Oryzias latipes: one gene and its partner. Each later gene encodes a partner of the first gene's protein in a complex. Links are inferred from orthologs where the notes say so. Each region holds a gene or a part of one and is shown in the gene's direction. Other genes may lie near its edges. The genes, in order: washc4 and washc3.

Region 1 (4,259 bases):
AGCAGGTCTGGAAGAGAAAGTGAATTTGGTTTTAATGATAAATCTTGGTCATTAGATTGTTCTTCAAACAGGTTCTCATTTTACCACGACAGCATAGCAACCTCCATCTCAGCTCCTGGTTCCTCCAGAGTAGGAGTGGACCTGGATCACAGAGCAGGTGTTCTGTCCTTCTACAGCGTCTCTGGAAGCATGACTCTCCTCCACAGAGTCCAGACCACTTTCACTCAGCCGCTCCATGTTGGACTGTGGGTGGGTTCTGGATCCACAGCAGAGTTGTGTAAAGTGAACTAGTTTCAGAAAGGAGTGAAATGTTTGTTTTCAGTGATTTCATCTAGAACTAAACTTTTGAACTGTTCAGATTCTGTGGAGTCATGTTTGTAGTCAGAAATGGAGAGAAAGGAAAATCTCTAGAATGTGGATTGGAGACATTTTGGAATATGAATGTCAAACTTTTGGGAGTCCAATCTGTTTTCTTTGAACTTTGGGATTCCAATGGTTTTGTGTTGTTGTCATGGGAACTGAAGGAAGCTGCAACACAAATGGAGTCAGTGAGGTCACCATCCCAGACTTTCTCTGGTTTGTTCTCCACAGAAACACCAAGAGAAGAAGCTGAAGGAGAAGATTGTGTTTGTGGAAAGAAGAACATTTAAAACTTTGTGTTCTTTCTGCTTCATTTGACAACTTTGAATTGAAGATTTGTGTTTTCATGTCTCTGTTCTTCAGAGAAAAGTGGTTTCTGATCATGTAACAATAAAAATCTCCTGTTTCCTGAACCACAGTGGTAATTGAACCCTCACACTGATGTCCAACATGCAGACTCCTGGTCTTCAGCGGTCCAACAGGAAGTTTGTTGTTACGTGCATGCATGCTGTGCATGTGCACTCCAGTGACGGGCAGTGAAGTTTGTGGCCGGGGGTGCACTTTCAGATTCAGTTTTACTCATTTATGTGCTGACTACTGATTGTGTTGCTTTTCTTACTCTTTCAAAACACAAACAGTAACAAGAACATATAGACCAGGGAGTAAAGTAACATGTATGAATGTTGTCCATCTACACACACTTAAGGATTTATTCCTGCAACATGTTTTGTGCTTTTAATTGTTTTTCTCTTACCTTAAAATAGAACAAACAACGTTTTTTTATTCCTCTTCCACATTATTGCGTTGGAAAGCACTTTGAATGTATTTGACAGGGGGTCTGTATTGCACACCAGGTTTATTTACCCTGGACTACATTACCCATGAGCACCTGCTGTGCAAATCACAAGATCTGTCATGAGATCCCGTAGCTTCATTTTTTAACAACACCGCGTTAGTTCTGGTCAGTTCTGGTACCATGGCGGTGGAAACCATCGCGCCCGACTGGGAGTTTGATCGTTTTGATGACGGTTCTCAGAGTAAGTGTTTTATCGAGCCGCGCGCGCGGAAGCAGCCGCGGACGTAGTTAGCTAAGCTTCGCAATGCTAGCCCGAGTCTTTTCGGTCGTTTCGGTATATGTTGTTGCAAAGCGGAAATCGTCTCCATATGAAACTACTTTTCACATGAAACATTTTATCTATACTTGTTTTATGCTTGCTATAAATGTAGGTCGGACAAATGTTCAACGCACGCGCGTGTAAATGAGAGCTAGCTAGCTGTCAAGTTAGCCGAAGTCTGAGTGACAGCTGGTCAGTTTGACAGCAGCGCGAATTAAAGCATTCTGACTTTCACTTTAGGAGAACTTTAAAGCTGCTATTTCTACGCATGTCAACCTGATGTTCCTAATCATTTAGTTTACATGTAAATGTTATTTACGGAAGCCGTGGAGGACTTTTCCACTCAGAGCCCTTTAGTTTCTCATGACAAGCTTTTCACAGACATTACTGTGTTTGTGTTCATTCACATTGTTTTCCTGTTCCTCTTTTATTTATTCTAGTTGTTATGTTCCACCATTTTTAGCCACTTAACTCCTCCTACAATTTTTCATCTATTTTAAGCATCCAACTATTCAAATGTTCAGCTCTTTTAGCTTTTCAGCTTTTTCAGCTATGACTTCAAATCCTTGAACTATTCCATTGAAATACATGGAGAATCCTTGGTGCAGAAGCTCGCTGGTTCAATTCCCGGCTCTGGCATTTTTCAAAAACATATCTTTTTTGTTATTGTGCTGTTTTCACCTTATGGTCAACTTTGATCATTTCCTAGTTTTTTGTTGCCAATTATTACCCTCTAAGCTCTCGAGTCATTTGAGCAGCTGGGTAGCACGGTTGGTAAGATGAGAGGCCACCATGCAGGAATCCAGGGTTCAATTCCCGGTACTTGGGCAAATATCATACCAGTGGTGAGCAATCAACATCAGCCAGTGCGGGCCCTTAGGCAAGACCCCAACGCCTCGCCTGCAGCTCACCGCTCCCAAATTGGTCAAACGTGGAGAAAAATTTCCCCATTGTGGGATAAATAAAGTATCTATTATTATTATTCAGCAAAATAGCATTCAATCCTGCTTTTTCTTCTGGAAATGCAGCTCCTCTGAGTTTTTCTTGGATGCTGACGGAAGACCCGTCTGTTCTCTGCGCCTCCACGCTGCTCCTGAAACGTCCTCATTGGTTGTGTTTCATTTTTCAAACACGTTTCTGGTTTGCTGCTCGCTGACCGTCTCACATGTGAACGAGCTCGTCACGAGGCGTCCTCATTTGGTCCGTTTGGAGAAATCTGAGGATAACCATGCTTTTGAAAAGGAGCAGGTGTGAAAGCTTCAGCTCAGGTGTTCTTAACCTTCAGCGTTCCTCTTGACAGAAATCCACACGGAGGTCCAGCTGAAGAGCTACAGCAGGTTTCTGGAGGAGTACACTTCTCAGCTGAAGGGCATCGAGGAGGCTTTGGACGACTCAATCGGAGACGTTTGGGACTTTACGCTGGACCCGATCGCTCTGAAGGTGAACGGTCCTGACACGGCCTCTGCTGCTCCCGTTAGCGCCGCTGAAGTCCAACTTCTGTCCGTTTGGTGTCTTTCAGCTCGTCCCGTATGAACAGTCGTCCTTGTTGGAGTTGATTAAAACCGACAACAAGGTGAGCAGAAGCTTCTGACTGCAGTTCTTGTCCTGAATCTCCTCCCTGCTGACCGCTCCTGTTGCGTTCAGGTTCTGAACAAAGTGATCACCGTTTATGCGGCTCTCTGCAGTGAAGTGAAGAAGCTCAAGTATGAGGTGAGCGCCGCGCCAGCCGCAGCAGATCGGGTCGCACCACGCACTCATTTACTGGCGTTTCTTTTTCAGGCGGAAACCAAGTTCTATAACGGCTTACTGTTCTACGGAGAGGGGGGTAATTCCTCGTCTGTTATCTACCGTTGTTGCAGCTTTGACCTCAGCTCTTCGTCTTCCACAAACGCTCCTCCTGGTTTGTGTTGCAGTGTCGGAAAGCAGCGTCGTTGAGGGAGAGTCGCAGATCCAGATGGGCAGATTTATTTCGTTCTTGCAGGTGGGCATGAAGGCATCTCCTCCATGACTTTGTTTGCAGATGTCTTCTGGATGCGGCTACAGGAGCTTCTCTGTGTCACAGGAGCTGTCCTGCTTCGTGTCCCGGTGCTACGAGGTGGTGGTCGGCATCGTCCACCAGCTGGCTGCCGTCTACAACAGCAGCAAGTAAGACCAGACACTGAATCCAGGGAAGGAAGCTCTTCCTGTTCATGAATCTGCTGGAAGATTCACCTGCAGCCGCACCCGAGGAGACGAGCAGTTTCCATGGAAACGGCAGCATCTTTTAGCCTTCAGAATGTCCCTCTTTGCTGTTTCGTGATGGGATCGTTGCTTAAACTCTTCTGATTCCAGGACCTCCTGATGGGATGAAGGTCCACCTTTGTTTGAACCCAAACCATCGCAGTCAAATATTCTTTTGTCATCGCCATAATGAAGGAAATCCTCTAATATTAGAAATTTAATGGAAAAAATCACTTAATCTAAATGATTTAAATCATTTTATTGACAGATTCTGATTCATTGTTTTGTGCGTTAAGTGCTTTTCTCTCCAAACGTCCTGATTTCTCTTTGTGTGAATCCAAGGGTCGCACCAAAGGTCATCGAGACGTCGGGGGTTCACTTCCAGGTGACTTTGCAGGTTTTTAGTAAAAGTCTAAAGCAAAGCGGTGCAGCCTTTTCTCACGGCGCGTCTCTGCAGACGGTGTACGAACACCTGGGGGAGCTGCTGGTGGTGCTGCTCACGCTGGATGAGATCATGGAAAACCACGGCACCCTCAAAGACCACTGGAAGATGTACAAAAGGTG
Region 2 (4,440 bases), on another chromosome or scaffold:
CCTGCAGCTTGTCGTAATTTAACACATCTTTATGCTTTGCAAGATGCCACACAGCAGCAGACAAAAGCTGGAGAGGGGGAACCAAGAGACGCAGGGATGACAGAGGCAAGCTGGGGTCTGAAAAAGAAAGGTGTGATGCAAAATATTGCCTATAGAGGGCAGTAATTAGCCTGTTTTTAGGCATGTTCATGCTACTACTAGAGGTGAAAAACCCCCACTCAAAAGTAGCATTACCTTACAAATAAAAAAATGATGTGCTGAATTTTAAATTTAAGATATTAAATTGTCTAAAAAAGAATTTTCTTAACCTTAACAAATGCTAAATTGGCGATGTGCCTTTCATGATCTGTTATGAAATTGAAATAAATGCTGGATTTACATCTATGTTAACGATTTAACATGGGAATATATTGACTGAAACGATTAAAATTCAACAACAATAAAAAGTACAACTGGTCTGTAAACGTAATGTATCACATAACAGAAAAAAACTACCTGTGATTTCATCAACATTAACAGTTAGCCAGTTTATACTCCACACCATTCCTTAAGTTAGTCGGGTCCCAAAGAGTATTTTCAAAGCATAAACGTGATTTACGACTACATTTATTAATCTGAATACACTTACGATTAGTTTGCTTCTTTGACCCAAAAACGTCCATTTGCATAGTCCAGCGTTAAAAGTCTGAAAATAACAGTAACTGTAAAAAAATATTTTTTATTGGTTTTTCTAGCTAACATGCGCTGTTGGGACGCAAACATCGTTTCCTCCAATGTTTTTGAGGGTTCCGCTTTCAAAATAAGAGTTTTCAGATTCAAAATCGAAAACATTGTTATGTAGTTTATGCATATTCGCAAATAAACACGAATATTTCAGTATGTATATTTTTTTATTTAAGATGGTATTGTTTTAAATGTATTATCAATAGATTATGTGCACAAGTTAAATGCCCAAAAACTAAGACGTTTCACCGCAGTGATAAAGTTGGTTGTTGACTAAACTTTATAGTATTTTAAACCAGATGTGAAATAACAGTGCTATAAAATGGAATTAGGGTTTTAAGTGTTGATATTTATTATTTAATCAATTTTAAACTTCAGATCCAATTTAATTCAATTTAATTCAATTCAATTTTATTTGTGTAGCCAAAATTCAAAACAACAGTCGTCTCAATGGGCTTTTCTACTCATTGACCTGAAAATATCCTTGTAGTTTTATTTAAATCCTCTCCATTCTTCTTGTAATTCTTTTTATTTAATTTTTTGTTTATTTTTCTATTTAGACACATTTTTTTAAAGTTTTCAAAATAAAAGCTGAAGTGTTAGGCCATTGGTGCAATATAGCGGAAGTGACAAGAGGAATAGGACGCGCTATGACGTAATTACGCAAGTCACATGAAACCTTCACTACAAACCTTTTTAATGTGCTGTTTTCTTTATTTACACCCCATGTAGACAGATTATAAACGATACTGGACGTTTGCGCGGAGTTTTAACGACCCAGCATGGACGAGGACGGTTTGCCAATCGTGGGGTCTGGAGTTGACCTCACGAAGGTTTGTGTTTTTTTTAGCTAACAGTCATGGTTCGCTTGTAGATCTCCGTGGGAATGAAAGAAGTAGCTGAAAGATTAGTCAAGTAAGACTTTATGGGATAATAAACATGATTTTAATCACATTATAATAGGATTCAATCAATATTCCCAACGATTTTGTATTTGCAGAATTATTTTTCGTGTTTTCTTTTACTTTAAAATGCATGTTTTTGTAAAGGCTGGCACTAAGCATGACTCTAAATTTCTCCAGAATCTGATAGGACTCGCTCTCATGTGTCATCGTTTTCCTGATTAAATGACTTTAAACTCCCTTCTAGGTTCCAGCTATACAGCAGAGACGAATTGTTGCCTATCTCAATCAGTTTGTTGTCCACACAGTTCGATTCCTGAACCGATTTTCCACAGTTTGTGAAGAGGTTTGTGCATCTTTTACATCGTTAAAGACCCACTTTGATGGAAATCCTGTATTTAACGTGTTTCTTGTGGGATTCATCTCAATATACTTAAGGGAATTAAGCTTACAATTGCATTTTTGAGTATTATTTAATTCAAATTGTTGTAAATCGGGAGCAGACGAAAAAATGCAGTTTGAAAAAGATTGTATTTGTGATGTAGAAAATGCGGCGGATGGGTCACAAGCTTCCTGCTCCTCTCCATGCTGATGCATCCATTTGTTGCAGACAAATAGATCCATGTATGTCTCTGTTTTCCCCGTCTGAACTGGAATCTGGCTCTAAACTGTACGGCTGGATAGCTCCAAAATTGCTCGCCATTTTTGTTGTCCTCTTAATGTCAGTTTACGGGTGTTTGAGGGGCTGTAAGCTTGGGGAGAGCATGTAAACAGATGGATGATAGGAAGTAGGGGCGGGCTTACTCTGCACCAACTGTCGAACAACAGTTTTTTTTTTGTTTTTTTTTACATTTTTGCCTAAAAAACAACATTAACATAGTTAAAAGACCAATGGAAACACATTCAATATAGATCAAAAGTTGATGATTGGGACTTTAAACTCGATTGACTTTGAATTTATCAGTGTCAAAATGTGTGAAGCCCTCATGGTGGGAACTCGATCAATCCAAAATATCAACATTTCCCCCACAGAAACTTGCAAACATATCCCTTCGCATCCAGCAGATTGATACCACCTTGTGCATTTTGGAGGCTAAGGTGAGCTGTCACACCCTTTTCAAATTGTCATGGATGTCATTTCTTTTTTTAACAAATGTTTTTGTTGTTGTTTTTTGTCTTTGTGGAGCAGTTGGCCTCCATTCCCGGGCTGGAGGAGGTCACAGTAGATGGACTGAACCAGCAGCACAGTGTGCAGACAAATGGGCCCACTCCAACCAGTCAAATCCAAACAGATGGGTCTTCAGTGGGAGCAGTTCCTTCCTCAGTGGTGAGTGTTCAGACTTGTTATAAAAAAGACACAAATATCCCAACCCCCCCTTCCCCCACAGTTTTTCACAAATTTATAGATTCAAACCTGATACATAAGGATTATGGTACATTCATATTGTGAAAGGTCGACCGATGATTTACCTTTTTACTATAGTTTTTTTTAATATATAATTATCTCTATTGATTTTCTTATTTTATTTTATGACAAACATGAAAATAATCCTAAAATAGCTTTACAAAATTTTTGTGTAATGTAGAATTCCTATGGGGTCAAATCCAGATCAACCTAAAGTGAAGGAAAAAACACAAAAAATAAAATTTAAAACTGTTTTAAACTCAAAAACAGATGTGAAAGAAATGTTGTAAATGTGAAAAGTATAATTGTAACTTTGAAAAAAAAAAAAAGATTTTAAACTTGAGAGGAATATAGAAAATTTGAAAAATAATTTTTTAAGTTGAAACTTAAAATTAAAAAGAAAAACTATAAACTTATAACTGTTACCAAATGAAAATTAACATATATTTGTAACAGCTGCTGTTTTGTATTGATGTACCAAACTTTGGGAGAGAATTATCACTACTGTTCGCCACATCAGAGGAGGGATGACACAGGCGGCGCCAACAACTACCGCTGTTGTGGAGCGGAAATGACATCATCATACCCTTTATGACCTGATGTCAATCATGTCCAGGTAGCCAATGGGCTCAAAGCCCCAGATAACAGTCAGAATTCTGAATTGATGACAAGTTTAGGTTTATGTTAAGTTGAGAATGTACTTTTATTTACTTATTTATTTTTTAAAATTTAATTTAATTAAAATAACCAAAGTGTACTTTTGAATTTAAAACTGTTCACTAATTTTCTCAATTGTTTTTAATTTTACTTTGTGGTTTTTCATTCCCTTCAAGCTGATCTCGATTTGACCCACATATTTCTCTTTTGTAGTTTTGAAATTTCCAATCTTGCTTTATTTACACAACAAATAAGGAACCAGTTAGTAATATAGACTGAATAGCAGGGATCTGGTTGCCTGTGTGCGTTACAGAAACATTCTGAGCATCTGTTTAGTGTACAGATATTATTTTCGCCATATTCATCAGGATTATAGTTTCCTTTAAAGCTGCTTTTCAACGTTTCTTCATGCTTCAGCCTCAGGAGGCACGACAAGAAGCTCCTGAGCAAAAAGCAGCAGCCGTTGCAGAGAATGTCCTCACAGTGGCCAAAGACCCACGATATGCCCGCTACCTGAAAATGGTTCAAGTGGTAAGTTATTATCTGATGTAAATGTTTAACAAAAGTCATATTTTGTTCAGTAATTTAATGTATTATTTTATGTAATGTATTTTTTTATTATTATTCAAGGGTGTTCCAGTGATGGCCATCAGGAACAAAATGATCCTGGAGGGTTTGGACCCCAGCCTACTCGAGTGAGTTTACATGGTTTGGTGAATAGCAGCGCTCCTATTTTTTTATCTTTATTCCACT

Evidence for each region.
Region 2: washc4 (region 1) and washc3 share a complex: the UniProt entries of both Homo sapiens proteins name them as parts of the WASH core complex. The link is inferred for Oryzias latipes from reciprocal best matches to the Homo sapiens genes WASHC4 and WASHC3.

Annotation. Positions count from the first base shown.
Region 1 is NC_019864.2:31,032,841-31,037,099, forward strand, and holds the start of washc4 (WASH complex subunit 4), read left to right. Parts: upstream 1-1,245; 5' UTR 1,246-1,336; coding exon 1,337-1,397; intron 1,398-2,775; coding exon 2,776-2,915; intron 2,916-2,994; coding exon 2,995-3,048; intron 3,049-3,119; coding exon 3,120-3,185; intron 3,186-3,254; coding exon 3,255-3,300; intron 3,301-3,388; coding exon 3,389-3,456; intron 3,457-3,537; coding exon 3,538-3,620; intron 3,621-4,037; coding exon 4,038-4,080; intron 4,081-4,152; coding exon 4,153-4,256; intron 4,257-4,259. Other genes in the region: tripartite motif-containing protein 16-like, read left to right, coding at 1-291. UniProt on the Homo sapiens protein: Acts as a component of the WASH core complex that functions as a nucleation-promoting factor (NPF) at the surface of endosomes, where it recruits and activates the Arp2/3 complex to induce actin polymerization, playing a key role in the fission of tubules that serve as transport intermediates during endosome sorting.
Region 2 is NC_019881.2:17,521,019-17,525,458, forward strand, and holds the start of washc3 (WASH complex subunit 3), read left to right. Parts: upstream 1-1,356; 5' UTR 1,357-1,505; coding exon 1,506-1,556; intron 1,557-1,872; coding exon 1,873-1,971; intron 1,972-2,657; coding exon 2,658-2,723; intron 2,724-2,814; coding exon 2,815-2,952; intron 2,953-4,104; coding exon 4,105-4,218; intron 4,219-4,317; coding exon 4,318-4,382; intron 4,383-4,440. Other genes in the region: zinc finger protein 252, read right to left, coding at 1-117, 629-668. UniProt on the Homo sapiens protein: Acts as a component of the WASH core complex that functions as a nucleation-promoting factor (NPF) at the surface of endosomes, where it recruits and activates the Arp2/3 complex to induce actin polymerization, playing a key role in the fission of tubules that serve as transport intermediates during endosome sorting.